Rattus norvegicus: one gene and its partner. The protein of the gene in region 1 interacts with the protein of each later gene in a biochemical or structural test. Links are inferred from orthologs where the notes say so. Each region holds a gene or a part of one and is shown in the gene's direction. Other genes may lie near its edges.

Region 1 (15,064 bases):
GAGCTAAATCCCCAACCCCCTACTTTTCTATTCTTGTGGTGAAACACCACGACCAAGGTGACTCATAGAAGGAAGAGTTTATTTGACTTATGGTTCCAGAAAGACAAGAATCACGGTGGGGAAGAATGGAAGCAAGCATTGGCATGGCAGCAGTGGGGGCACATACACTTGGAGTTTTCGTTCCTACTTGTGTAACTGTTTGGGAAGGATCAGGAGGTGTGGCCTTGTTGGGGGAGGGGCTTTGCGGTTTCAGAAGCTGACACCATTGGAAGTTAGCTCTCTTTGCCTCGAGCTTGTGGATCAGGAAGTAAGATCTCAGCTACTGCTCTAGCTCCACCCCTACTCGCCTGCTACTATGTTCCTGCCCATAGCACTCATTCATTGACTCTCTCTCTGAAACTGTAAGCCCCAAATACACTCTTTTTGTAAGTTACCTTGATCATGATGCCTGGTTATAGCAAAAGAAAGTAACTAAGTAAAAAATTGCACACAAATTTGTGTGTGTGTGTGTGTGTGTGTGTGTGTGTGTGTGTGTGTGTGTGAAGCAGAGGCCGAGGGCTCACAGTGAGCTGCAAACATGAAGCAAAAAAAGAGAGAAAAATAAGATGAGTCTTTAAACTCTCAAATCCGGCCCCATGATGTACTTCCTCCAGGGAGGCCACACCTCCTAAGCCTGTGGTGACCAAGTATTCAAATATCATAGGTAATGGAAGGCATTGAGCATGCATTCAGAGCACCACATGGTAGAAGGGGAACATCTACACCCACAAGTTGTCCTCTAACCTCTACATGTATGCTGTGTTATGTGGCCAGTCACGTCCACACAACATCAATAAAAGTGAAGTGCAAAATTTCAACATACACACATACCAAGGAGGTAGTGCCATGTGGATATTTGTGAGTTTAAGGCCAACTTAGTCAACATGGTTGGTTCCAGACCAGAGCTACACAGTGAGACCCTGCCTTAAAAAATTGCACACAAATTTGTGTGTGTGTGTGTGTGTACTCCACAATATATAGTATGTATTATTCCACATGTTATATATTGTGTAAACCCCAGTCTGACTTACAGATCTTATCCCCTTTCCTCAGTTACTCACTTCTCCACTTTTGATAATTATCTTTCATAATGTATGCTGCTGCTGAAATTCTACCACAAATGTATATGGCCATGGATGTACAGAATTTGCATTGTTTTTAATTTTGCATGGATAGTTGGCAACTCTTTTTTTTTTTTTTTCGGAGCTGGGGACCGAACCCAGGGCCTTGCGCTTGCTAGGCAAGCGCTCTACCACTGAGCTAAATCCCCAACCCATAGTTGGCAACTCTTACAACTTCCTTCCTCCCTCCCTCCGTCCCTCCCTCCCTTCCTTCCTTCCTCCCTCCCTTCTTTCCTTCCTTTGAGACAAGGTCTCACTATGTTGCTCCAGTTGGCCTGGAAACCACATTTGCACCAGGCTGGCTTGGAATTTGCAGTGATCCTGTTGCCTTAGCCTTTCATGTCCTGGAATTAGAGAACCACCATTATACCCAGCCCAGGTTAGCAATGTTTCTGAGATGTGTCCACTCTTCTATATGGTTCTGACCTATTCGTTTTTTTGTTTTATAAATTGCGTTCTTTTCAGGAATCTACTGCATTCTAGCTGACCATTCACTGGATTCATGGGTTTATTGTCATTGTTATCAGCAGCAATGAAGCGCATATTCTTCTGTATATTGCTTTATGTGCTTGTGTATCAATGAGTTCTGTAGGTGAGGGCTGTATTTATTCAGGTCGGAGCCCAAATTCTGATTGGTCCTAGGTGGAGATTATGGTTGTGGGTTTCTTAAGATTAACAAACCTCAGAACATACAGAACATAAGGGTATGTGGTCATCATGGCCCTGCTCTGAGTCAAGTTATTTTTTTCTGTCAACAATATGAAATAGCTGGCAGGCATGGAACAAAATGGCTACAGCTATGCTAGAGGGGTAAGCCTCAATGTGAGATTATATATATATGTATATATATATATGTATATGTATATATATGTATATGTGTGTGTGTATCTAGATATATATGTGTGTGTATACATACACATACATACATGAATGAATATTTTGCCTGGGGAAACGTCAGGTCGACAAACTACAGCCAAGCAGAGGAATCTCTGTTGTGACCTTAGATAACATCTGATGACACTATTAGGCTGTGAGTTGGTGCAACCCAATGGTCTGCTGAGGTAACACATTCCAAAAGGCACCACCTGATAGGCACAGGATGTTAGACTTTAGACCTGCAATATCCCAACCCTTTCCACAATGGATGGTGCTCAAGGCTCATCAGTCCTGGAGATGGAATGCAGGTGGTCAGGTTTGCTGGCCAACGCCCTAGCCCGTTGAGTCATTTAGTCATTCCCTATTATCCCTTCAAAACTACCTGTTTCTTGTTTTGTGTGTTATCACTTCACTCATTGGCTTCTCATTTTTGCATAAAAGCAGATTTACTGTTATCCTATTATGTTACCGAACCTATGCCAAAATTCTATCTTGGTCTAGAATCTAGGTTTGGTTTTTTTTTTTTTTTTTTTTTTTCCGGAGCTGGGGACAGAACCCAGGGCCTTACACTTGCTAGGCAAGCGCTCTACCACTGAGCTAAATCCCCAACCCCTAGAATCTAGGTTTTTAAACTTATAATCTCCATTTTTTTTTTATTTGTCTGCTTGAAGCCGGGTCTTCTTACTAGGCATGTCGGGATGGCTTGGTACTTACGATCTGTCTAAGTCACTTTTCTATTGCTGTGATAAAACGTCATGACCAAAGTAACTTACAGAAGGATAGATTTAACTCATGGCGCTAGAGGGATAAGAGTCCATCACCATCGCAGCTGGGAATTGTAGCAGCTGGCGCTGAGAGCTGAGGGCCCATACCTCAAACCACAGACAGGAAACAGAAAGCAAACTAGGATGCTATATGTCTTTTGAAAGCTAAAAACCACACCCCTATACAAGCTCCATGACATACTTCTTCCAGTAAGGCCAAACCTCCTAACTCCTTACTCAAACAGTACTGGCAACTGGAAGCAAATGTCAAGTACCTGAGGACTGTGGGGTCCATTTCATCTCTCCCTAAAACTGTCCTCTAGCTTCATCCTCAGGGGTGGGGATACTGCAGACCACTATGCCCACAGGCTGTAAATCTATCCATTTTATCATACTGATAAATCAGAGAAAAGGAGGAAATCTACAAGTGAACGCATCCAAGGTATGTAAAAAGAGGCATAGGAAAGATAAATAGGAAGATGACTTATCCCTTATTAAGAACCAATACTCTGCCAGGCAGTGACGGCACGTCTTTAATCCCAGCGCTGAGTAAGAGGAGGCAGGGAGTTGCACCATTCCAGAGGATTAGGAGGTATGGCTTTGTTGGAAGAAGTGTGTCACTGGGGGTGGGTTCTGAGGTTTCAAGTCCTTAGTCTCTCAGCCTATGATCAGGATGTAGCTCTCAGCTATTGCTCCAGCACTGCCTGCGTGCCACCCTGCTCCCTGCTTTGCTCACGGACCAAACTTCCCAAGGTGAAAGCAAGGCCCCACTCAAATGCTTTCTCTTATAACTGTCTGGGCCATGGCGTCTCCACAGCAATATCCCACTGACTAAGACAGAAGTTGGTACCAGGACTGAAGCATTACTGTAACAGGCCAGGGCATGCTGCTTGTTGGTCGAGTGTGGACTTTGGGACTTTACGGGGCTTAATGGGCCATCCTAGAAGGAACATGGAAGACAGTGGTTCTGAGAGCAATGTAGATCATGACCGGCCCACCTCGAGAGGTTTCGGAGGGAAAGAATATTAGCAAGTGGCCTAGAGATCATTCTTGATGTATTTTGACCAAAAAATGCGGCTGTTTTTGCCCTTGTCCTAAAACTCTGCCTGCTGCTAAATTGAGTTTTGGATTAATGGCTTTGGCAGAAAAGATTTTAAGACAGCATAGTACTGACTGTGTCCCGTGGCTTTAGTAACTATTCTTATGCAGATCTACAATGATGAAAAGGGGCAAGCTGGACAGAGACATCCAGGTGTAGTTTGGGAGGAAAAGGAGCACCAGGAAGTGTTATGGAGCTAATCCTGTGCTGAAGGAGATAAACAGTTAAAAAAAAAAAAAAAAAAAAAAAAAAAAGCTTGATGCCAAATGAAATAAAGCGAGTTGTAACCTTGGAGCAAGACCTCACCCAGCTAACCTTCCAACGTGTGGGAAAGAATTAGAGAAAAACTTAAGTAGTAAAGGAAACCGTCAACGACAGAGAGCTGGTGAAAATGTAATTGACGGAGGGGACCAAGCTCCAGCAATCAGAAGAACCTGGCAGTTTCTGCGATGTGGTTATGGCTTTAGAGCCAAGGATGCAAGAAGGGGCTTGTGGACTCTCCCTCCAAGGCTATGGCCTCTCCATCCGAGGCTAAGGAAAGTTGCTGAGGCCAGGTGTGTGGCACGAGTGTCCCTGCATGGAGACCCAGAGAGGCCATTGTGTGAAGCCCTGAAAGTGAAGCCTGGATTGTGTTGGAGGCCCCAAAATAACTGCAGATGCCAGAGTAGTGGATATCTGCCAAGGAGAGCTAACAGGGTGGGAATCAGCCTGAGAGGAAGACGTGTTATAGTCAACAAGGCTGAAAGGAGCCGGAGAGCTGAAGAACACTTTACATAGGACATGGAGATGCAGAATTTGGAGTTTGCTGGGTTTTGGTTTTGCTTTGGTCCAGTATTTCCTCACTATGCTCTTTCCTCCCTTTTGGAATGGTGATACCTATCCTGTACCATTGTGTATTGGAAGTAGGAGATCTGATTTTGATCTTACAGGGGTTTTCAATAAGAGATACCTTGATTCTCAGAAGATACTTTGAACTTTTTTTTTTGAGGCTGTGATAGACTATGGGGACTATGAAGGTCAGTGAAAAGAATATGATGGTTTGAATAACTCCCATATGCTTTTATATTTGAATGCTTAGTGTCTAGAAGTGACACTATTTGAAAGGATTAGAAGGATTAGGAAGTGTAGCCTTCTCAGAGGAAGTGTGTTGGTGAGATTAGGCTTCCAGATTTCAAAAGCCCACACCCAGGTTTCTCAATCTGGATCAGGTTGTAGCTCTTAGCTACTGCTTCAGCACCTGACTGCATACTGCTTTGCTCCCCACCATAATTGGACCAAAACTGTTGAAGTTGTAAGCAAGATCCCAATTAAATGCTTTCTCTTATAATAGTTGTCTTGGCCAAAGTGTTTCTCTTCACAGCAATACCAATCACTGTGACTAAGAAGTGGCACAGTGACTAAGACTCGGCGTTTTGTTTTTAAACTTAATTTGAGTCAACTGTCCACATCCCACTCATTAAAGTTCAATTACTTATTACACATGTATACCTTACTTCAGTTAGCTCTTGGGTAAAAGTTTAATGAGAGGCATTCTAGCGCTTAGGTGTTTTGGGGGGTGGTGTGGGGGGAAGGGATGGAGGCCAGGGACTAACAGAGTCTAGCTCAGAGCTTACTACTGAACTATGGCCTAACCTTATCAAGGCATTTGATTAGTATGTTGGAAGATCCTCGTGAGCTAGTTAGAACCGACAGATATATAGAGTAGGAATTCTTTGCCCATGGATCCAACACTTTAAAACTCATACAAGTGCAATGTTCTCAGAATGACTGTAACTGGAAAAAAGACCTTAGGTAAGAGCAATATTAAACAGGGGTTCCATCAGTCTTATCAATGAAATCTGAACTGTGTGTGCCCAGTCAGTTTGACTCTGCATTGTCTGTCACGTTTGTTTTTTGTTTCATTCTCACACTGTACTCCAGGGTGGCCTCCACCTGGCTCATAACAACCTGATCCTCCTGCTTCAACCCCCCAAGTTCAAGTATCCGGCTTATTTCTTCTTTTCATTTTTTTTTTTTTTCCGGAGCTGGGGACCGAACCCAGGGCCTTGCGCTCGCTAGGCAAGCGCTCTACCGCTGAGCTAAATCCCCAACCCCTCTTTTCATTTTTTTAACCGAGTCTGGGAATATCAGCAATCCTCCTTCTGTCTCTCATCTCATTTTTTTCTGCAGCTATCAGAATTTCCTGACTTTCCAATTTCATCAGGGTTCTCTGGGGTGCTCTTACTTCACTTTTCTCCTAATCTCACCCACAATCATTTCAACTTTGCTGTCCAGGCCATTGGTAGTCCGTTCAAGGTCAGGAAAAATATCAGGCGAGGTGAAAAGTTAAGACATAAACTAAAAGGTCTTATCCAACTGGGCGTGGTGGCACACACTTTAATCCCGGCACTCAAAAGACTCAAGAGGCAGGTGAATCTCTCGGATTCAAAATTGGTCCACAAAAGAGTTCCAAGCTAGCTTGGGTTACATAGAGACTCCCTATCTCAACAAAAACACATTAAAAAAAATTCGTAACCGCGATCACCATTAGCCTGGAACAACGGTTTCCCCATCACCCATACTTGTATTATCCAACCACAGCTACTCTGGGGATGGCCCTGAGGCTGCTTCCTCTGTTCTCAGCCACCTTGGGTAGAGCACAGTGAGATTTCCGTGAGTCCTGTCAACTCTCTTCTCTTGGCCACTTCCTCAGCCAAGGCCGTCCTCCAAGTCCGGGGAGAACGCCACAGTTCCGGTAAGAGCCTCAGTAGCAGCCTGCGCTCCGGTGCAGGGAACAGGGAGCAGGGGCAGGAAGCGACGAGCAGGACTGGGCTCAGCAGGGACAGGCCACCACCGGAAGCGCGTGGGGGGCGCTCGGGCGGAAGACCGCGCGCGGTGGGCTGGGGGCGCCGCGAAGGGCGGGGCCTGTGCGCGCCGGGGGCGGGGCTCCCGCTCAGGTCACGTGAGGGGCCCGGTGGAGGTGGTGGAGGTGGTGGCGCGGCGGCGGCGGCGGCCGCGGCGTCTAGAGCGGCGCCCAGTGCAGGATGTTGCAGGAGACGGCGGCGGTGTCGTTGGCGGTAGCGGGCGGAGGAGCGGTGACGGCTGAGGCGCCCGCGGGCGGGATAAAATGGCGGATTTCGAGGAGTTGAGGGTGAGCGTCGCGGGGGGAGCGGAGGCCGCAGGGCGGGGGGAGGGGAGGCGGGAGCAGCGCGGCGCCGCCGGGGCGTGCGGCCGGTTGGCGGAGCCGTGTCGTCGGGCGCTGCGCGAGGAGGGACAGCGCGGGCGAGGGCGGGCGGATGGCCCGGGCGGCGGGCCGCACACCTGGCGGGCTGGACTCGGCCGGGCGCGTGCAGCGGCGTTCGCCTCAGCGGTGGCGACCCCGGAGCACTGTGTGAAAGACCGACCGCCTTCGGAAACGCGAAGTTGTGTTTAGGAATTTTCCTGTCCCCGCTGTGGTCTAGGCAGGTCTGTCACGAGATGAGGCCCCTTCTTCCCACCAGCGCTTTCTCCCTCAGCGTGGGGAGAAGCGCGGTCTTTTGGGAACACCGCCTTCCGTAGTCCGCCTTAGACCCAGGGACTTGGTTTGTAACCATGGTAAGAAATCTTCAAAGTCCGTGTTGTCACGTATGTAGTTTGTGCTCTCGAGGAGAAACTGTTTCTTAGCATGAGAACAAGCTCGTAACTTTATTGTTGGTACCTTTGTAGTCGGGGTCTAACGTAGAGGCTAGACAGATCATCTCACAGAAACCATATCCCAAACTAAACCAGGTATAGTGAGCTGCATTGAAGGCCGAATTACTGACGACATATGTGGGATGTTTACAGATAGAAACCGTGTGTGTGTGTGTGTGTGTGTGTGTTTTAAAGTGGAGACAAAGTATGGATTTGAAGTTAAATGAACTTGCAACCAGTTGAGGTAACCCAGCCATGTTTGGCGTTTGGGTTACTTTAATCTGTTCTGCTTTCTAAAGACCATTATTGTTTGTGGGAAAAGGATGTTGGCTGGCTGGACACCAACAAAAGAGTGAATGTGAAAGCTCGCTTAGGGCCTACCATTTTCCCTCCTGTTTCAGGAAAAGATGATTTTTCCCAATAAAAATTATACCGATGCATGTTGTATCCCTTATCAGTTTATACAGAGAACCATGACTGAAAAGGATATTTGCACTATATCGGTCTTAAGTGTTTATTGGAGCTCTTGAAACAATCAGGCCTGAGCCTCACTTCAGTAAACTGAACACTGGAGGTATTTTTACATGCAGTATTACCTTAACTTTTGCACAGTAACAGATGTATATTTCCTCTCCCAAGGAAGGTAGCTTTTTTTTTTTAATTTGGTTGGTGAAAACCTTTGTAGGGCTTGTATTAGACTTTTAGAAACGTTGCTGGTTAAAGAGAAGAATTAATCTTAACCACATAGGGTGGGAAAGGACATCAGTACTCAGATTGGAGTGAAACCAGGACCTCAAAAGGACCTTTCTGCTTTCTCTGTTTTGATTTGTGGCTCAGCCTCATTTTCTCATCCCTAAATCATCTGGGTTTTGCATCTCTTTGTGCTTGGTAAAAGGTAATGTTGTTGGCTTCCCCATTCATAGTTAAGTGACCAACAGAGACTTGACCTCAGAGTTTCCAGAGGGAGGGAGGGAAGGCAGGCAGGCAGGCAGGCAGGCAGGCAGGCAGGCTGAGTAGATGCTGGGAGAATTACCCACTATGTTTTGCTTAGGGCAGACTCATGTTAGTTTAAATTTAAAGAACTTTATCCCAGTCTGAGTACAGGAAGTGATGATGACATATACTCATTTTAATATCACCTTATTACATGCCAAACTCTGCTTCAGATACTTCACATATACATTGCTAGTCTCCTAATTCTGTAAAGAAAATGAACATAGACAAACTTTCATCTAGATTATAGTTTGAGAGAGGAAATCTTAAAATTTTAAACACTAGTTACTTGATTTCAGAGTCTTGAGTTCTTGAATCCATGTTAGATTTCATTGTTCAAGTGCCTTTGGGACTAGGTGGGATTCCTAATTACTCTATTTATAGACTAAATTAAATGATAAATACTATCTTTTTGTATCATAAAAGTGGAAGAAAAATAGAACAGTGGACCCTCCTCCAAAAAAACCCAAAAAACAAAACCCCACAGAAAACAAACAATCCAAACCAATGCCAAAAAACTATAATCAGAAAGAAAGAGAAGGGGAAGAAATATCCTGGACACTCAGAATGATGGTTTCTGGTACAGATTATATTCAGATGATCCCAGTGACAGTTAATTCAATATAGAATCAGAAATTATGGACATTAGATTTTTGGTTATCTTGGCAGTGGAAGAAATGGTAGACGAATTCTCGGATACTATAATTTAAGCTGTTGAGGATCAGTCTGTTGAGTAGTCAGCATGTCCCTGGTGCTGTCTGCTCTAGAGGGATCTTTTGGAGAAAGATCATCCCCTCATTGCGGTTTAGTTATGTTCTTTCACTTTTTAGGCTTGGTGGGGTGGGGAAGGGAGGTGTCATTTGATAAGCGTGGTGGTTTGAATAGGTATGGCCTCCATAAGATTCATGTATTTGAGTGCTTGGCCTATAGGGAGTTTAGGAGGTGTGACTTTGTTGGAGTAGATGTGACCTTGTTGGAGGAAGTGTGTCATTGTTGGGGCAAGCTCTGAGGTCTTCTATGCTCAGGTTCCACCCAGTATGGAACACAGGCTCCTCTTGGCTGTCTTCAGATCAAGATGATGTTGGCTCCTCCAGCACCATGTCTGCCTGGATGCTGCCATGCTTCCCACCATGATGATGATGGACTATATTTCTGAGACTGCAAGCCAGTCCCAATTAAATGTTTTACTTTGTAAGAGTTGTCTTTGTCATGGTGTCTCATTCATCAGTGGAACCCTAACTAAGAAGACAAGTTGGTACCAGGGACTGGGGTATTGCTGTGATAGGCCTGATCATTTTTTGTTTGGAGAAATGTGGGTTTTGAAATCTTGGATTAAGAAAAGTGTGGGATGCTCTAAGTGGGACTTAATAGGTCATACAAATAGATCCATGGAAGACATTTGTGCCGGGGCGATTCGAACACGGGGGCCTGGCTCATGAGGTTTCAGGGAAGAATTTTGGTATGTTGCCTAAAGATTGTTTTTGTGCTATTTTGGTGAAGAATGTGGCTGCTTTTTGCCCTTGTCTGAAGTCTGCCTGAGGCTAAGGAGAAGAGATTTAGATTAATTTCATTGGTAAAGGAAAATCTCAAAACAGCCTAGTACAAACTTTGTACTGTTGTTCTCTCCCCTTCATCGCCCTTCCCCCTCGCCCACCCTCTATTTTCTGGTTTTTTTTTTTTTTTTTCTTCCCTCAGTGTAACCAGCCCTGGCTGTCCTCTCCTGGACTTGCTTTGTAGACTAGGCTGGTCTTAAACTCAAAGAGATCTGCCTGCCTCTGCCTCCTGAGTGCTGGGGTTAAAGATATGTGCCACCAAGCCCAGGTCTGTGGCACATATCCTTAAGAAGAGCCTCTTAAGAAGAGCCTTTTGATCAGACATAGCAAGCTGAGAAAGAAAAATACAAAATGTATGGTTCAAGGATTAAAAGGGCATCAGGAAATGGAATGGAACTAAATTTTGTGTTCAAGGAGATAACACATTAATGATATTAGTTGAAATTAAGGGAATGGTGACCTCAGGCAAAATTCCATCCAGCTAAGCTTCCGTCTTGTGAAAAGAATGTTTCCCAAGGGACATTTCCACCTATTATAAATTTACAAATGTTTGCAGTTGTGTGAGGGATAGTTATATCATGTTAAACACTATTATGACTTGGTTATTTTCATCTGTATATAAGAAGATACGATTATATGTTGTCAGGTGGATTGTGTTGGCTATTTTCAGTTGTCAATTTGACTATCTGGAATGAACTACAGTCTAGATATCAAGGGCATATCTAATCTTGAACTTGGAAGACCCAGGGTTTTGATGAGGATCATGAGGCAGAATGACACAAGCTTTTAATTCAGATCTTGAGGCATAGTGGCGATGCTTATTAAATTCTATAATGGAAAGGAATTAAAGAAAAGTTTAGGCCCAAGTGTGGTGGTACACATTTTTAATCCTAGCACTTAAGAGACAGGCATTCAGATTTCTGAGTTCAAGGCCAGCCTGGTCTACAGAGCAAGTTCTAGAACAGCCAAGCTTAGGCATTGAAGGAAACCGGGGAAAACAGAAAGTTGTTCAGTCTGTAATTGAACAAGGGAGCCCATGTTCCAGGCCCACCAAGCAACCGAATTTGGTAGCTTTGGCCACGTGGTTCTGGCTTTAGAGTTAAGAAACATCCTTCTGCAACCAAGGAAAGTTGCTGAGGCCACGTGTGTGGCAGGAGTGCCCCTTCATGGAGGCCCAGAGAAGCCATTGTGTGAAGCTGTGAAAGTGAAGCCTGGATTACCTTTTGAGACCTTCAGATGTTGGAGATGCCAGAATTGTGGGATACCTGTCAAGGAAACTGCTAACAGGCAGTGGAACCAGCACGAGAGAAAGAAGTGTGTTGTAGTCAACAAAGCTGAAAGGAGATGAAGATCTGAAGAATGTGTTGACATCAGACATGGAGATGCAGATGGAGTTTGTCCAGCTGGTTTCAGTCTTGCTTCCCTTAAGTATTTGTCCTGGAACAGTAATGTATATCCTGTGCCATGATACATTGGAAGTATGGGATCTGTTTTTTTATTTTTACTTTATAGGGGTTACAGTTAAGCGATTGCATAAATCTCTGAAGAGACTTTGAACTCTTAAACCTGTTTGAGACTGATAGACTATGGGGACTTTCAAAGTTGGACTAAATGTATTTTGCATTATGTGGGTACAAGCCTATGGGGGATAGGAGTGGAATGTGGTGATTTGAATAGATTCATGTATTTGAATGCTTGGCCCATACGGAATGGCACTATTAGGTCTGGCACTGTTGGAGTAGGTGTGGTCTTGTTGGAGGAAGTGTGTCACTGTGGGTGTGGACATTGAGGTTTCCTAGGCTTAGGCTCCACCCAGTATGGAATATAGTCTCCTTCTGGCTACTTTCAGATCAAGCTGTGGAACTCTTGGCTCCTCTAGCACCATGTCTGCCTGGACGCTTCTTTCTCGGTGCTTTCCACTGTGATGATAAGGACTGAACCTCTGAACCTGTAAGCCAGCCCCAATGTCCTTTATAAGAGTTGCCTTGGCTGTAGTGTCTCTTCACAGCACTGGAAACCCTGAGACAAAAAAGCACCTGTAGAACCTTAAGGTGTTGCTCAATAAGATTTTTTTTTTTTCTTCAAGACTATGTGAGCAACTCACAGAGAGACACTGGCCACATACTATGGCTGCTCTGTGTTTTACCTTTAGGTCCCAAGTGACTACTAGATTACTAGTCTTGCTTTCTTCATTCTTGTAAAAGAATATGATGCGTCTGGAGCTTTGGTCAGAATCCACTTGACTGTCCATTTCTAGGGTATTGGAATCATGGTACAAATTTGATTTTGGAAGCCATTCTAATGGGTTGAAGGAAAGGAAGGGGGGAATTCTTTTTTTTTTTTTTTTTTTTCTTTTTTTTTTTCGGAGCTGGGGACCTAACCCAGGGCCTTGCGCTTGCTAGGCAAGCGCTCTACCATTGAGCTAAATCCCCAACCCCAGAAGGGGGGAATTCTTTAAGAAAGAAGGTGGCCTGTGTAGTCAAAGGTGATTATAATAGTATGGTTTGTATAAGAAGCTTTCCAGGGAAATAATTTGGTTTCCTAGATGCTTAACTTGTTAGATGTGAATTAACTTGCTACAAGATTGTTTTAGCTTCTGTTTTATTGCTCTGAAGAACCACAATGATCAAGGCAACACTTATAGAAGAAAACTTTTAATTTGGGAGCATGCTTGTAGTTTGAGACGGTTATCTCATCTTCATGGCTATGGGAAGCAAACAGGCATAGGTTAGAGCAGTAGCTAAGGTGGTGGTTCTCAACCTTTGCAAGTAGTGTTGTGACCCTTTATACAGTTCTTCATGTTGTGGTGACCCCCAGCCATAAGACTATTTTCTTTCTTTTTTTTTAATGATTTATTTATTTATTGTATGTGAGTACACTGTTGCTGTCTTCAGACACACCAGAAGAGGGCATTGGATCCCATTACAGATGGTTGTGAGCCACCATGTGGTTGTGGGAATTGAACTCAGGACCTCTGGAGGAGCAGTCAGTGCTCTTAACCACTGAGCCATCTCTCCAGCCCGATTTCAGTGCTACTTTATTACTACTTTTGCTATTGTTAGAATCTTAAATATCTCAGTTTTTCTGATGGTCTAAGGTATCCCTATGTAAAGGTCTTTCGAGCCCCAGGTTGAGAACCATTAAAGCTTTATATCCTGAGCCACAGTCAACAGGAAGATACGTGGGCCTGGTCTGGACTTTTGAAATCTTAGGTACTATTAGGATAGAGGAAGAATGAGAGGCTAATGAGATGTCGAAGTTCTAAGTCCTCATCTCCCTCCACCAAACCACTACACAGGGGAAACACTAATGTACGTGCTGTATGACAGAATCCATGGTGTTTTCAGTGCTATTAGGAAAAACAGCCTCCTAATAATACTTTGTTTAAATTGTCTATGAAGGCATGCCAAAGTGATATGTTAATTTAAAATGAAATTTTTATAAAACGACAATTTCCAGTTGTCAATGAACCATGATATTCTGGGTAGTAGTAGGTACTTTTGTGTTTGTTTGCTTTGTAGGTCTGTATGTTCCCTCCAGTAAACATGAATTAACTTTTCTGATGATGAAATGGCAGATTCCCGACATATCATCTGAACATATTCCTCAACATTTTTGCTTTTGTTTCCGTGGGTTTGATGTCTCTGTCTCTATCCCCCCCCCCCCCTTTGGTTTTCCAAAATACAGTTTCTTAGTGTAACAGTCTTAGCTGTCCTGGAACTACAGAAATTCACTGCCTCTGCCTTTTGAGTGCTGGAATTAATGGTGTATGCCAATATGCCTGGTTTGATGTTTGCTTTTTTAGTTAGTTTTAAATTGAGATAATTTAAATACTGTAAAATTAAGCCACTGAAAGTATCGAATATGGTGCTCTTTTAGACTATTCACAAAGTCACATTAGTGTCATCACTGTCTAATTCAGGGACAGTTTTATTATTCCAAAAAAAGTCATATGCAGTAGTTCCTCAGGCCATAGCACCTACTCTGTCTGTGGGTTTGCCTGTCATGAGCATTTCTTTCTTTCTTTTTTTTTTTTTTCGGTGCTGGGGGCTGAACCCAGCCTTGTGCTTGCTAGGCAAGCGCTCTACCTCTGAGCTAAATCCCCAACCCTGAGCATTTCTTATCAATGGAATCATACAACACTACTGGCCTTTTATGTCTGGCTCATTTTCATTTAGCATAATGTCCTCTGGATTCATTTGTGTTGTAGCAAATACCAGTAATCTGTTTCTTCTTGTTCCGTTGTGTGAATGTATTGTTTGGCATTGAGTTATTTTTACTTAATGGCTAGTACCAGTGTTAACTACATGAGCATAAGTTTTATTTGGACATAGGCTTTCAGTTCTCTTGAGTCCATATTTAGGAATGGAATTGATGCATAATCTTCTATGGTTAACTTTTATTTATTTCTTTAATGCACTGTCTCGTGTAGTAGCACAGGCTGGTCTTAAACTCTCTGGTCCTCTTGCCTCTAATTCCTGAGTATTGAGATTACAGGCATGGTCTGCCACTTTTGGCTTCTTTTCTTTCCTTTCCCCTCAGATATGGAATTATACTCAAGTATCACCTAACATCAGTCACTTTCTGATAAGTATATTGACAGGTAATTTCAGTTTTGTGCAGTTATCATAGGGTGTTGTTGTTTGGGCTATATCTGTTTATCTTTCTTTCTTTCTTAAAATATTGTTCTGTTTTATTTATGTGTTTGTGTGTTTTACCTGCATGTATATCTGAACTCACAGACACTAGAAGATGGCATCAGAGCCTTTGGAACTAGAGTTACAGGTAGTTTGTTTTTTTCTTTTTAAAGATTTATTCATTTATTATATATAAGTACACTGTAGCTGTCTTCAGACACACCAGAAGAGGGCACCAGATCTCTTTACAGATGGTTGTGAGCCACCATGTGGTTGCTGGGAATTGAACTCAGGACCTCTGGAAGAGCAGTCGGGGCTCTTAACCGCTGAG
Region 2 (14,964 bases), on another chromosome or scaffold:
ACAGACCTCACTTTTTCTCATGTGGGATCCCACCCTTTGGGGCAGGTGCCAAGCTCTGTGAGCAGTACTGCTGTGTCACTGGTGTCCTGAACTGAAGTGGGGGGAAGTCTCACACAGGAGGGGATGGGAGAATGGTGCCCCAAGGCGTGTTCTTTCAGGACCCTGTTGGAACCTCTCTCCTGCCGACCATTCCTCAGACTAGAAAGAGCTGTGCTCCTATCCAAGACTGTTAGAACCCAGTGCAGGGCAGGTTGACTGTTCTACCTCTTTCTCCAGGGATAAAAAGTTGCTGAGGACATCCCAGGGAAACAGGGTGCTTCTTGTGGAGCATGTTCTGTGGAACTGTGGGGAAAAAGCTGGCGTGAGGACAGGGAGAAAGCTTGGTCTGCAAGTAGAATAAGGGATCTGTCTCCTTAGAAATAAAAGGTTCTCAGCTGGAGGGATGGCTTAGTGGTTAGGAGCACTGACTGTTCTCCAGGGGACCAGAGTTCAGTTCTCAGCACCCACATGGCAGCTCACTCCTGTCTGTAACACCCCAATCTGACCCTCTCACACAGACACGCATGCAGGCAAAACCCCAATGCATATAAAATATTAGTTAATGGTCCCAAGGCTGCAGACTGCTCAGCAGTTAGGGTCGCAGGTGGCTCTTTCAGAGGACCTGGTTCAAGTCCCAGCTCCCACGTTACTGCTGACAAACATCTGTAACTTCACTCCCGGAGGATCTGGCACCTTCTTCTGGCCTCCTTGGACACTGCCTACGTGTGATTCACAGACAGACGTGCAAGCAAATACTAATATACATGAAAACAATCATAAAGGTTAAAAAGCCCCTGTGAACTCTTATCCATGGTGGCTGAAATGGTGCATCCCGTGGGCCGAGCCTGCTCTGAACAACAGAAAGGAGGTCCTTTTCAGACTGAACAACCCAAGGTTGGCTGTGCGGCCCATAACAAACTTATTGTTCAAAATGTGTTTCCAGGCAGCAAGAAGTGCTGACTCGGCCCTTGTCCAGCAGCTTGTGTGTATCGTGATTATATAAAAACTACTGCCACTCAATACGGTTTTTTCCTCCAGTATGGAGGATGGAACCCGGGGCCCTGAGCACACGTATTCTTTAGAGCTATACGGAGCCCAGAAGAAAGAGCAGAGTCTGAGATCAGAGGGCCTGGGGGGACCTCAGCCTTTACCACCTCCACTGGATTCACTCAGGGTCCCCTAGTGCCCTTCTGGTTCTCCACCCTTGGCTTTATGCTGGCTTTTCTTACCAGTCAAAGAGCCAAGTGTAGCCTGCAGGTATGTGTTTTTACTAGCCTCATAAGTAATTTTTTAAGCTTTGGCTGTCTAGATTTAATGAGCAGATTTTTGTCTTTGAGTTGGTAGTCTGTAAGGACTGGCTTTGCACTGCGGTTTCTACCACTGTGCTTAACGAATGTAGGTTAAAAATAAATTCTGTGTAAAAATAAGACAGTCCCACGAGCAACTCTGAGCTGCTGGGGGAATTTTGAGAATTAGGTTGTTTTTAACGAGTCAAAACAACAACCTTACCCAAGAACTTGCGCTTTAAACCCTGGTGATTCTGGCTTTCGAGACCCTTTTTTTCATGTCTTGCAGGAGGGTGTGAAGACAGAGAACGACCACATCAACCTGAAAGTGGCAGGGCAGGATGGCTCAGTGGTGCAGTTCAAGATCAAGAGGCACACTCCGCTGAGCAAGCTGATGAAGGCCTACTGTGAGAGGCAGGTACGTGCTGACCAGAGGAAGGAGTCTTGTGGGGGGTGGGGGATGGGGGCTGCTTGTGTTGCAGGCTTGCCTTTACTGCCCTGGATCTTGGTATCAGCATGAACTTATAGTGTGCCTCTCCCTGGGCTCCTACACATGGATAGGTGGATCTTGGGCTTAAGCAGACTCTAGTGGGACTTGCTACCTGGTAGACCATCATAGTGGTGGCACACTCCTATAGGGGCAGTAAATGGCTCTGCTGAGGCCCTATGGTGCACTCAGACGTGGATCAGTGCTGGTTCGAATTCCTCTTTCTGGTATCCATCCAATTATGCTCATGTATGCTGTCCTCATTGGCGATTTTATTTTATTTTTTAATGTTATTCAGGAAAGTAAGGCTACATGCAACCCCATCAATTCATTACTGTTTTACAATAGCAAGCTGACTGACCTTGTCCCCAGCAGTGAGCAGGGTTGTCTGTGACTGTGAACTCATGGCTCTTGTACACACCGTGCTTGGGTCTGTCCATCTATTCATTCTTATTAGGACCTTCTGGCAGATGGGCACATGCTAGCCCGCCTGGAAGGCCTTGGACTCCTAGTCTCAATTGCTCCTCCGATGTCTGCCTCAGTGGCTTCTTGGCTTGCTGTACATAAACCCAAGTGCCAGATCCTGTTTGAACCCTGCCAGCTGGTGGCTCTCAAAGGGGGCCCTGCCCTTCTGTGAGGGTAGCAGCATCTCCTTACGGTGGTTCAAGGTTGCCCTGAGCGCTTGCCCGCACAGCTAGGTACTGTCCTGAGGTGGTACCATGCTTTTTCCTTTCCTACCTCCTGAGCCCTGCAGATGGTGCCCTCGGCCTCCTCTCTTCTGGGTTTTGACCACAGATACTTCTCACCTGGGAAAGGTGAGACGGAGCTTGCTGGTGACACCATGTCCCCCTTGTGCCCTCCCAGCTGAGTCAGCTTCGTGTGCTGTGTGCCACCACTTGGACTGCACATGTGTAGGCCTGTTCCTTGCTCTTGTGGTTGTGTTTGCCCGGGTTTCTGCTGAGACGCTATGTTGAGGGTGCACACTAGGTCAGCTACCTCAGTGTTCTGGGGCATCCTGCTGGCCCCACCCAAGCCATTGTTTGGAGGTGAGGTTGTATGCACAGCTGCCATCCCAGAGTCTTGGGAGAGTCATTCTGGAGTCTTCTTTGTCTTCTCTTGAGTCTTTTTCTGTGTTAATAGCATCATCTCCCACATCTGACAGGGACATCTTGTCACATCTGGCTGCATGTAACAGTGTAGGCTGCGGTGAGCTATCAGGAAGGTGCCATCATTCTCTGTTAGCATCCTGTGTTTTGGGACACGGGTGACATTCTGCTTCTCTGATGTGAGATCTCAGCAGGGGCTCAGGAGAACTCCTCACTCTGGCATGGTGCTCTCTGGGCCCTTCCCATATGTAGACTTGTCTCTACCTGTCCTGCTCCTGGGTAGACAGACGTCTACCTCTGCTGCTGGGAGTGCCCAGTTCCCCTCAGTCAGCCAATCTGTGTGCTTACCTGTGACCATTTTCCTCCGTTCAAAGATTTATTTATTGCGTGTACGGTATTCTGCCTGCCTGCATGTCAAAGAGGGAATCAGATCCCATTACAGATGGTTGTGAGCCACCATGTGGTTGCTGGGAATTGAACTCAGGACCTCTGGAAGAGCAGTCAGTGCTCTAACCGCTAAGCCATCTCTCCAGCCCCCAGAAGTGCTCTGTCTGCTTCTGTTTTGTGGTTTTTTTTTTTTAACCTAGTAGCAACTTTTTTTTGTTTTCTTGGTGTGTGTGTGTGTGTGTGTGTGTGTGTGTGTGCGCGCGCGCGCGCGCGTGCACATGTGCGTGCACACACAGTTTTTAACCTTCCTAAAAGCTTTAAGTGTACATGTGTTTTAACTGCTCCATCTCCTTTTTTCTGCCTCCCAATATTGAAGAAACTCGAATTGATGTTATACAGGATTTGCTTAGGAGACATGGAGTCATACAAAGTGGAATTCAGCTAAAGGAACACTGTCTCCAAAACACCCTAAAGATAAGTGGGGTACCAACCAGGCCTGTTAGAGATAAGAGACACTTAGGAGGCTAGGATGTCAATGTTTCTTCACAAGGACTGTTAGCTCTATTCTCACATCAGAGGCAACAACCCTGACTTACAAGCAGCTATTAGACCTATCAAATGATACGCCTCCAGGAGGACCGAGCAGGGTCACAGCCAGTATTCAGTCTGGCCTGGTATAAAGTCCCCCTTACTGAGAAATGCACGCGGTTAGGTGGGCAGGATTACCCCAGGTAAGAACCATTTCAAAGAGAACAGCACTGGTGTACTTAAAATAATTCTGGCGATATGCCGTATCTTTGCTGTGTAAACTTCCCATCTGCCTGAGTGGCCAGACTTGCAGTGTCCTGTGTCTGTTTAAGTTGTTCACAGTGTGTCCTGGGCCTGGGACATGTTGCTTTCTTCTTTTCTGGTCTCTTCTCACCTATTTGAGTCTTTTCCTAAATGCCCCCCACCCCCACCCCCAGTTTCTGCTTGTATTTAAGAGTGATGGAGCGAACCCCCGTGGGAAGGAGAAGGGCTGTGTGTTTGGGTGGACATAGCAGAGGCTGCATGTCCGCAGGGTGGTTAGAACTGGGGAGGTCTGGGGGCCCAGGTGCTGCTCTGAGAGGCACTGTTTCCTAAGGAAGATTGCCTCCCAACTGTGCCCAGAATTGGGGTTCAGCTGGAAGACTGAGGAGTCTCTGAGGGTCATCAGGGATGCAGGCTTTTATTAGCCTACACTGGGACACCCACTGCTCATACCTGTCTTTTTTTCTTTTTAAAGATTTATTCATTTATTATATATAAGCACATTGTAGCTGTCTAAAGACACACCAGAAGAGGGGATCAGATCTTTACAGATGGTTGTGAGCCACCATGTGGTTGCTGGGAATTGAACTCAGGACCTCTGGAAGAGTAGTCGGGTGCCCTTAATCACTGAGCCATCTCTCCAGCCCACTCATACCTGTCTTGACAGAGCTCTCAGTCCACATCTCTAGAAAGCCCTGCTTATTGCTGTGAGAGAGAAACTTTCTTGGCCTCTGAGGATTGTGGGGGACTTTGAACCCTTGGTGATTCGTGTGAACTTTTTATTTTTATATACATGGGTGGTTTTGCTTGCATGTATGTATGCCTGTGTACTATACAAATGTCTGGTTTTCACAGAGGCCAAAAAAGGACATTACATCAGATCCCCTGAAACTGGAGTTCCAGGTGGTTGCAAGCTGCCATGTGGGGGCTGGGAAACCGTACCTGAGTCCTCTACAGAACAGCAAGTGCTCTTAACCCCCGAGCTAGTTCAGCCCTGAATGAGAACTTTCACAGAGTTGACCCAGGGGTTCCTGGTCTCACATCCCTGGGGCCCTGAGGTTTTTGGTGTGGCACACATGGGAACCCTGTGTCCTTAGGCTTGCGGCTTCAGATTCCAGCCAGCAGAGAGACCAGTCATCTCTGGGTTCCTTCATAGAGGCCGTGCCTTTCCTTCAGGAAACAGTCACAGCTGTCCCATCTGTCCTGTTTCAAGGACAGCAGGGCTGTCGAGGGAGAGGGCACTTCTGCCTGGTGTTGACCTGCTTCCTCCCGACAGGCTGAGGCCCACTGCCCTCCTTTCAGGATGGGAAATGCCTTTCTTTCCTGCCATGCTCCTCACAGCCTTCCTGATTCTGGCCCTGTGGTCACCTGACCTGTTTCTCTCTGGGAACTTTCCAGAGGAGGAAATGGTACTAAAGTACAGAAGGGAGGAACTTGGCTCAGCTTTCCTTCTGGGAGGAAGTGAGAGACAGAATTAGGACAGGCCTAGTGTTGGAATGAACTGGAAACTTCTGAGAGGGTTAGTTTGGGGCAGCATAGGCTGTAGATTGTGGGCCACTAGGGCTCTTTCTGCTCAGCTGGGTCATGTGTGCATATGCGGAATGCTCATACTATTGATGGCCCTGAATACGTATCTCCAGGTTAAACTGTGTCAGCTGGGAGTGTCTAAGGCTTTTCCTTCCTTCTCCCCAGGGCTTGTCAATGAGGCAGATTCGATTCCGGTTTGATGGACAACCAATCAACGAAACAGACACTCCAGCCCAGGTATGAAGTGTCTGTCTCCAGGTTCTGCGCCATTTTTAGTTTCTAAACGTCCATTTGGAACACTGTTATTTGAGAAATGGCTTGTTTCCACAATGATTTTTTTTAAATTTATTTATTTTTATGGGCATTGGTGTTTTGCCAGTGTGTATGTGTGAGGGTGTCAGCCAGATTTTGGAATTACAGTTGTGAGTTGCCATGTAGGTACTGGGATTTGAACCTCTAGAAGAGCAGTCAGTGCTAACTGCTGAGCCATCTCTCCAGCCCCTCGACAATGATTTTAGTTATTAGACTTCAGGTTTTGATACTTTGAGATTGAGTTTCTCAGACAAGTGGTAGTCAGACATATCTTTGTTGTTTAGAGGCAGTGTCCAAGTGTAGGACCCACACTCTCAGGCTGATTGCCCAGAAATCCATCCACTGTGTGGGCTGATAGAGGGAACACAGCTCCTGAGGTCCTGAGGGCTTAGTGCCAACCGTTTGCTCTTTATTGGAGTTTGAACTGGAGTCAGAACTTAAATATTTGTCTTACTTTAAAAAAAAAAAAGATGTATTTTTATATATATGAGTACATGGTCTCTGTCTTTAGACACACCAGAAGAGGGCATCAGATCTCATTACAGATGGCTGTGAGCCACCATGTGGTTGCTGGGATTTAAACTCAGGACCTCTGGAAGAGCAGTCAGTGCTCTAACCACTGAGCCATCTCTCCAGCACCTGTCTTACTTTAAAAATATTTAATTAAAAGTATTTTTGTGAGGGCTGGGTAGTTGGCTCAGTGGTTAAATACACTTGTTCTTGCAAAGGACCTGGGTTCAATTCCCAAAACTTACAACTGTCTTTAGCTGTAGTCCCAGGAAATCTGATGCCCTCTTGTGGCCCCTAGTCATTAGGCACACAAGTGATGCACATATGTGCACATAAAAACTAATTAAATGGGCTGGGGATTTAGCTCAGTGGTAGAGCGGTTACCTAGGAAGCGCAAGGCCCTGGGTTCGGTCCCCAGCTCCGAAAAAAAGAACCAAAAAAAAAAAAAAAAAAAAACTAATTAAACAATTTGGGGGGTGGCTAGGTGGTTATGGTACACACCTTTGATCCTAGGATTCGGGAGTTATAGGTAAGCCAATCTCTTGAGTTCGAAGCTGGCTTGAGCCACAGAGCGAGTTCTAGGATAGTCATGGCTACACAGAGAAATTATGTCTCAACTCTTTTTTTTTTTTTTTTTTTTTTTTTTGTGGGGTTGGAGAGATTAGCTTAGGGGTGAAGAGAAGCAGCTGTTCTTCCAAAGGACCTGGGTTCGATTCCCAGTACCCCCCCTGGCACCTCAACACTTCTATAACTCCAGTGTTGGGGATCCAAGAATCCTCCATGCATTTGGGGTACATAAGCTCACATAACTACATACACAGACACATAGAAACAAAAGATAAATGAATAATACTTTTTTTTTGGTGAATGTGAAATGTTTCTCTAAAAATGCTGGGTCTGGCGCGATAGCTTGCTGGGTAAGATGCTTGTCACCAAACCCAATGACTTGAGTTCATGTGAGTGTCCCCCTCATTAAAAATGTATTCAAGTGTCTTAAGATGCTGACATTGCCGTATATGAAATAGCGTAAGTGCACAAAGTGTTTTCTGTGGCTGATGAGTCTGTTTTTAATGACCCCATTTTTCTCTCAGTTCTTAGCTCTGATTATTCTTCTGTGAATCTTGTCAGAAGTCGGGTGGATAAGTAGTTACTGAGACTCCACAGTAACCCTTTTTCTCGCATGCTGCACTCCAGCCAAGGTGACTGGGCTGTGTCTAGTGTAGGGGAAGCCGTTTGGGAGCGTGGTATCATTGTGAACTGACTTCTGGATTTCCTGTCTCCTCTCCCTGGCCCGCCCTGGCACCTTCGAAAGCTGGAGATGGAGGATGAGGACACCATTGATGTATTCCAGCAGCAGACGGGAGGAACGGCCTCCCGAGCCAGCGTCCCCACACCCAGCCATTTTCCTGACATTTGCTATTGAATGGTGACCATGCAGCCACACCAATCACACAAGAGTCCGCAGAAGCCAGAGTCACCGAAAAGAGTCTCCTTTCCCGATGCGCTTGGAGTGAACTACATCCAGAATACGCTGCAGGGCGAGAGCATTACATACCCTGGTCGTTAGGAGGGTTTGGTTTGGGGGAAATGAGGCGTGGGGTTTTTGGGGTTTGTTTTGTTTTCATTTGTTTCCTCCCATTTCTAAAATTTTTTCTCCCCCAAACTTGGGTCTGGATGTACAGACTCTCACCCTGTGGCCTGAGTCTAATCCCTAGAACTATGGTTTCCTCCGGTGTGACTTGTCCTGATCAGGTAGAGAGAGCTTGTGGTCACATTACCCAGTGGGCATACCTGTGGGATGTGGGGAGGGGCAGAGAAGCAGAATTCCACCCGTTTGTTGTAGGCATAGGATATTAAAATGTGAAATACTGTAAATTTGAGCTTTGTCAAGCATATGGTGAAGTTAAGGGAAAAAGACCAGTGCTTCTTAAAAACTGTGAGGAGTCTTCCTACTGTGGCCCAGGCCGGCATATGCCCACTTGCTTCTGGCATCTGGTAATGGATACATCGGTAAGGGTGGCATAGTGAAACCCACCCCCCACCCTTTTTATAATGTCCAAGAAAGTAATTGTCCCGTCCCATTTGGAAATTGAACATGATCTCAGATTCTTCTGGTCCTTGCTAGATATATAATTATGGTTTCTGTCTAAGAAGGTAATCAGTTAAGTATCAAGTTTGCTGCAGTGTTGTGTAAGAGCCCCGCTTTCAAGTGTGGTTGCAAAAGCAAGCCCAGGAAAGGTGACCTCATTTTCCCGGATTGTGGTGTGCAGTTTTCCAAGTGTGTGTTAACGGGACGCCTCGGTGGGTGACTGCGGTTCTGCATCGTGGGGTCAGTTAAATGTCTATAGTTCCTGCCTGCCATCCTTCTGTAAGGATCCATTGCTGCTTGATGGCCATCTCTGCCTTTTATAGTCACCCGACACTGACCTACCATCTCTCGCTTGCTTAAAGTCCCGAGGAAAATGTTTCTGCCTGTTTGCTGCGTGGGCCTGGGTGGGGTGTCTGTCGGCTCTGTTGTGTTTCTTCACCGGTTTGTACCTGTTGTCCTTTACTACTGTAAACAGTAAATATAGTTTGGTATTCTGTCTCTTGGCCTATGTTAAACGCTGTATTTGGAGACTGGTCATATGTCACAGCTCACTGTTGACAGTCTGTCCAGTGAGGCCACTCAGACGGACAGACAAGGCATTGCTTAGCTTGCTTTGCAGCATGTGTGCCCTGTGCTGGTCCTGAGTCTGCACAGACTGCACAACTAGGCTCTCCTCCCCTTGGTGTGTGAAGATAAGGTGGGCTTTAGAGGCAGGGCGTAACGTGGGGTCTCTCAGTTCACGACTGCTCATCTGCTTTGGCAGGAGTTGGTGCTAATTTGGCTGTGAGGGGTTTCAGTACTTAGGTGAGACAAAACCAGGGTTCTCATGGCCCAAGCTATTTTAGCCTGTAAGTTAAGCACCAACACCAAGCACTTAATTCGTCCAGCAGGAATGTGTGGATTAAAATGGAGCACAGAGCCATTTTCTAGGTCCCTCAAAGATTAATTACTTTCTCAATATTGTCACAGAGTTAGTGGCAAGCAGCCTAGAGGAGCAAGAGTTTATTTTGGCTTATGGTTTGAGGGTACGTCCTCATGACAGGGAATACAAAGGTAACTGGAGCATTAGGCTGCTTGTTGGGGCTCTGGGGGATCAGGAAGCAGTTAATCCTGTCAGGAAAAGGTCTTAGGGTATACTCAAAGGTGAACTTCATTAACACTCTAGGCATTTTTTAATTGATTCAAGTTTCTTGTCAGCCAGACACCCAAATACATCATTGTAGAATCAATCTACTTGGCTCTTTAAAATCATGTGTTACATATTACAAAACACATTTAGTCTGTCTCTGGGTGCCCACCCTCAAAGTTCAAAGTCAGCTCTGAGACTCCAGATGATTTTTGAGCCCCTGTAAAATAAACAAGTTACTTCTAACATATAGCGCCAAGGCCTATTTCAAAAGGGAGGGACTGGAGCATAGCAAAGAAAGATTAGGCGGAAGCCAGATTAATGAAAGCCAGCAGGGCACAAACCGAAGCCTGCTGCTCCGTGTCTAGCGTCAGAGGTTCTTGACATCATTTGGGCCCCGGTAGCCGTGGGTAGTCCCATCCCACAGTTCTGTTGCCTGAGGTGTCTGTGGTCTCTGTTGGGCCAATACCTGGTGCCTGCAGCACTCCTCCATGAACATCTCACCCTTCTGGCTTCTCTAACATCTGGGGATCCCTTACTATAGAACCTCTGCCTTCTCAACTCCACACAGCTTCGTCTCAGGGCCTCTGTACAGGAAATCTGAAATCTGATATTCCCATTCATTGCCTTGTTAGTGGCTTTCTGGAATCTTGGCACAGATTTCCATCCTTTCTCCTCCCTTACAACTTGCAATTGTGGATGCTGCCACCAAATTTGGCTGTCAGTTCCAGATGAAGCCTGGCACCCTTAGGCCACAGTTGCAGCCACCTCTGTGTGCTCTCGCAGCTGGGAAAACATCTCCGTACATGCTGGGTTTTTTTACCCCCAGCAGGAAACCCTGAAGACTCTCTTCAGGCACTCTCCTTTCAGATAAATTTGCATTTTTTTCTCGGAGCTGGGGACCGAACCCAGGGCCTTGCGCTTGCTAGGCAAGCGCTCTACCACTGAGCTAAATCCCCAAGTCCAAATTTGCATTTTTATTCCCTGGAGTTCTCATTTCAATAGGTACTGTACCTAGTGTTCCAGTGCAAGGCCTCAGACAGCTCTTGACTGGCACTAAATTCCTTTAACCCCTACGGTCAGTTTGTTCCAAATCTGCCCTGCCCTTAACTTGGTCTGACCTCTACTCACCAAAGAACACTTCCCACATTTCTCTGAGCCACTTTCCACCTGTTGTCACTGTAAATCTGGATAAATGCGGCAAACGAGAACCATGCCACAGCCTGGGTGTCCGGTAGGCTGCCTTGAAAATCCACCTGCCAATCAGCTTCCTTAGCCCATTGCTTTTGAAAGTTAGCCTCATTCCATCCAGTTTTTAGGTTGCAGGGTAAACACAAAATTGTTATGGGGAGTCCACCAGAGAAAACCACTCTGATACTCTGTAGCCAATTAGAAGTCTTTATTCCAGCCAGCCGGGACCATGCTTAGGTATTTGGGATTTAAGACTAAAGAGCACTGGTCGGAAAGGGTTCTATCAGTATCAAAAATACAGTTCTAAAGTAGCAGCAAAGGTAATGTTAAAGTTGGGGGTCACCACAACACAAGGAACTGTGTTAAAGGTTCTCGGCACTAGGAAGGTTGAGAACCGCTGGTTTAGAGTGTGGAGTAAGGTGTCTTTAAAGACAAAACCCACATCCTGATAACTCAGCAGTTTGCAGGGAGAAGTTTTGTGCAAGCAAGCAATTTAAAAGCAGTCAGCTGGAGGAGGTTCTGCACAAGGTTTTACAGAAGCTAAATTACCTAGGCACCTTGACCTCAGGTGCCTAGAATAGAGTTGAGTGACTGTCCCTGGGGCTTTCCATCAAGGAGATCAGATTTTAGTTAAACCTAATATGGCCTCAGCAAGAATCCAAGATGGAGGAAACTGCATGGTGTTGCCCTGTCACGGTGTGATGTGAAATGGTTGCCAGCCGAGTTTCTGATGTGCTCCCTGTTCACCTCTGGGATAAAGCTTTGTGAGCAGTCTTGACTGCCTGCATTTCTTGGCATTCTGGTCTTCCGGATTCCCACCAGAATGGGAATGTTAGCCCTGCTCACAGCATTCCAGGGCTAGTCTAGCTCACAGCTCTGAACCTGTTTTCCACTTTTCTCCTTAAAACTAGCTCTGGCTGGGGCTAGAGAGATGACTCAGAGGTTAAGAGCACTGTCTGCTCTTCCAGAGGTTCTGAGTTCAAGTCCCAGGAACCACATGGTGGCTCACAACCATCTGTAATGGGATCCGATGCCCTCTTCTGATGTGTCTGAAGACAGTGACAGTGTGCTCATATAAAATAAATAAAAATTAAAAAAACAACAAAACAAACAACCAGCTCTGAAGAACTGTACCTCGTGGTCAGGTTTGTCACCGCAATGGCCTCAGTTCATGGCACTATTTTACTCTTGTTTTCTTGCTGCTGGGATCAATACCTGACAAGAAATAAGAAGTTAGTTTTCTCTCAGGGTTTGAGTGGACACAGTCTGTCCTGGCGGGCAGGTGGCCCCAAGGCGGCAGCAGGGTGTGACCACTGTTTCCTCACACAGCTTAACTGAAGAGGAAGGAGAGAGAAATGGAAGCCAAGCTGATCCTAATCCCAAAACTCACCCCCATCCCCAAGTAACCCACTTGCTCCAGCGAGGCCTCATCTGCCAAAGGTTCCACCGTGACCAGTGTTCATGAATATGGGCGCGTCTCACATTCAGACTGACCCAGGGGATCGGGGCTGCCACATCATTTGGATGCCTTAGAATGGCTTGTGCTTCTACAGCAGGAGGAACAGTGTGTCCTGGAGGCCGCCTTTTGTCCTGTGGGTGGGGCATGGGGAGGGTTATGCTTGTGTGATTTTCACCCTACATGTAATTGGAGTACCATCCTAATACTCTTTTAAAAAACGACAAATGAGATGAACCTAATGCCACAAGTTCCCAGCAGGAACTTTCCCTTTGTCCCAAAGTACCTAGTCCTGGGAGCCCCTTTGTTCCCAGAGCCCTGCCCAGAGCTGTATCCCTCATGTCCACTCAGGGAAAGCAGTTGTGCATCCAAGAAGATACCAAGCATCTATCTGGTCACTTCCTATGAGGAGGAAGTTCATCTTCCTAGGCACAGAGTCTGACATTTTTTGGCCAGAGAGGGTGGGATATGGCCCGGGACCTTTCCTCTGTGAAACCAAGGTACTTTCTCTTGCCAAAAGTGCCATCTTGGAGCTGGTGAGATGGCTCAGTGGTTAAGAGCACTGACTGCTCTTCCAGAGGTCCTGAGTTCAATTCCCAGCAACCACATGGTGGCTCACAACCATCTGTAATGGGATCAGATGCCCTCTTCTGGTGCGTCTGAAGACAGCTACAGTGTACTCATAAAATATATATACATATATATATGTGTATATATATATATATATATATATATATATATATATATATATATTTTTTTTTTTTAAAGGTGGGGTTGGGGATTTAGCTCAGTGGTAGAGCGCTTGCCTAGCAAGCGCAAGGCCCTGGGTTCGGTCCCCAGCTCCGGAAAAAAAAAAAAAAAAAAAAAAAAAGGTGCCATCTTCTCAAACCACCTCTATCTCAAAAGCCAGATGTAGTGGCACAAGTCTTCAATTCCACTACTTAAGAGACAAGAAGGTAGGCAGGTGGGGAATCTCTGTGAGTTCGAATCCACCCTAGGCTACATAATGAGTTTTAAGACACCCAGGGCTACATAGTGGGTGGAGTGGGGCGATAGTGGTGGCCTCAAGATTCAGGATCTATACAGCCAATCATGAGGAGCGCGCCAAGCGTAAGGAAATGTCTCATTCGGGAACAATCCATAATGGGCCATTCATTAGCTCTCGCAGGATTTTTCAAGACTAAAGAAGGTAGAGCCGCGGCGTAGGAAGGCTCCAATTCTGAGGGTGAGGCCGGCCGACAAAGTTCTAGGACCCCGAGCTCCGTCAGCCTGGGCCGTGACACCGCGAGCGCAAGACGAACCCCAGCGAGCCTCTGTCTGGCACACCCCGGCGCGCCACGTCACCCGCGCGCGTCCCGGATACACTTGCGGCTGCAGGCCACGACCCGGAAGCAGCAGCGGGCGTCGGAGCGGGCGGGCGGGACCGGCGCGGATGTGGCGAGGCTGCTGAAGGCAGGTTCCGCGGTATGGCGGGGACGGCGTTGAAGAGGCTGATGGCCGAATATAAGCGTGAGTCAGGCGGCGCCGTGATCCTGTCCTCTTCCCCGAAGCCGCCCGCGGCGTGGCCGGGCATGGCTCGGTGCGATGCGGTGCGGTGTGGTGCGGGCGTACTGGGCCGGGTCGCTGGAGCCCGGGTGCAGAGAGAAGGCTGGGCTGTCGCTGTCACCTACCCGCCACGGCCGGCTTCAGCGGGGCAGGCCCTGGGCGCAGAAGCTGGCCCGACCAGCGCCGCTATGGCCCTGCGACCCGGGCCTGGTCCCTGAGCCGGTGTGCGCATCGCCCTCCGGACAGTTGATGCTGCGGGGCGAGTGCCGGGTAATCCCTGTAAGGTGATCGTGAGGTCTAGGAGAGTTGGGGAGAAAGTTAAAAGTAAACAAAATAACAACTCGAGCCTCCGGCCACGCTGCAGGTGCGAGTTGCTGGGGCAAAGTTTCTCAGACACGGGCTCCGGACCGTTTCCTTGAAGCCGGATCTGTGTTTCTGTTTTACTTTTTCAGACCTGTTTCTAGATTGAGAAACATCATCCCCCTTTATCTAAAAAAAGAGGGAACAGTAGTTAAGCTCCGGGACAGGAGTTTAAGTTCTGACCGCTTCTGTTTAAGGGCATTCACATTAAGAGAAAATTTTATCCCCCACAAGAGTCTCAACTGTTAAGGTCAGACAAAGCTTATTGTCACTTAGTTTGAAGGGTATTGCCACCTAGTTTGAAGTTAGGTCATGAATCATCTCAGTGAGAGAGAAAGAGAAAGAATTTGGTTAAAGAGGGAACCCTAAAATAGGAAAAAGGCTCCCCTGGCGAGGAACTCGGGGTTCACAGAGGAGAGGGCTCCACTTGCTGTGGCTGCTTGGAAGAGGAAAAAAGGGCAGGGAGCTAAGGGTGGCCCCAGGCTGACAGCTAGTCTGGGACCAGTGTTAGAGCCATATGGAACTAAGTTGTGCCAGCTACTTGAATGGACTTGGGTTGCAGCTCTGAGACACCCAGCTGTCCTGGCTGGGCCCAGGCCCACTGACACATGGAAACCATGAGGTCATCAATGGATATTGTTTAAGCTTGTGGCAACAGCGACAGGAAATTCATCCAGCAGCTCTAAGCAGGAGGAGTAAGGTTTTTTTCTGTGTCCTCGTAATTCATTAAAAGTCCCACTGAGTGTTTTTCTTC

What was found.
Region 2: the proteins of Pias2 (region 1) and Sumo3 form a complex in vitro, tested with the Homo sapiens proteins (2 studies listed by BioGRID, with this or other methods). The link is inferred for Rattus norvegicus from reciprocal best matches to the Homo sapiens genes PIAS2 and SUMO3.

The regions. Positions count from the first base shown.
Region 1 is NC_086036.1:72,894,878-72,909,941, forward strand, and holds the start of Pias2 (E3 SUMO-protein ligase PIAS2), read left to right. Parts: upstream 1-6,829; 5' UTR 6,830-7,005; coding exon 7,006-7,029; intron 7,030-7,108; exon of another isoform or gene 7,109-7,469; coding exon of another isoform or gene 7,470-7,472; intron 7,473-15,064. UniProt on the Homo sapiens protein: Functions as an E3-type small ubiquitin-like modifier (SUMO) ligase, stabilizing the interaction between UBE2I and the substrate, and as a SUMO-tethering factor.
Region 2 is NC_086038.1:11,003,796-11,018,759, reverse strand, and holds the end of Sumo3 (small ubiquitin-related modifier 3), read left to right. Parts: intron 1-1,614; coding exon 1,615-1,743; intron 1,744-5,786; coding exon 5,787-5,858; intron 5,859-7,534; coding exon of another isoform or gene 7,535-7,561; exon of another isoform or gene 7,562-7,755; coding exon 7,756-7,866; 3' UTR 7,867-9,026; downstream 9,027-14,964. Other genes in the region: Ube2g2 (ubiquitin-conjugating enzyme E2 G2), read left to right, coding at 13,772-13,814. UniProt on the Homo sapiens protein: Ubiquitin-like protein which can be covalently attached to target lysines either as a monomer or as a lysine-linked polymer. Does not seem to be involved in protein degradation and may function as an antagonist of ubiquitin in the degradation process.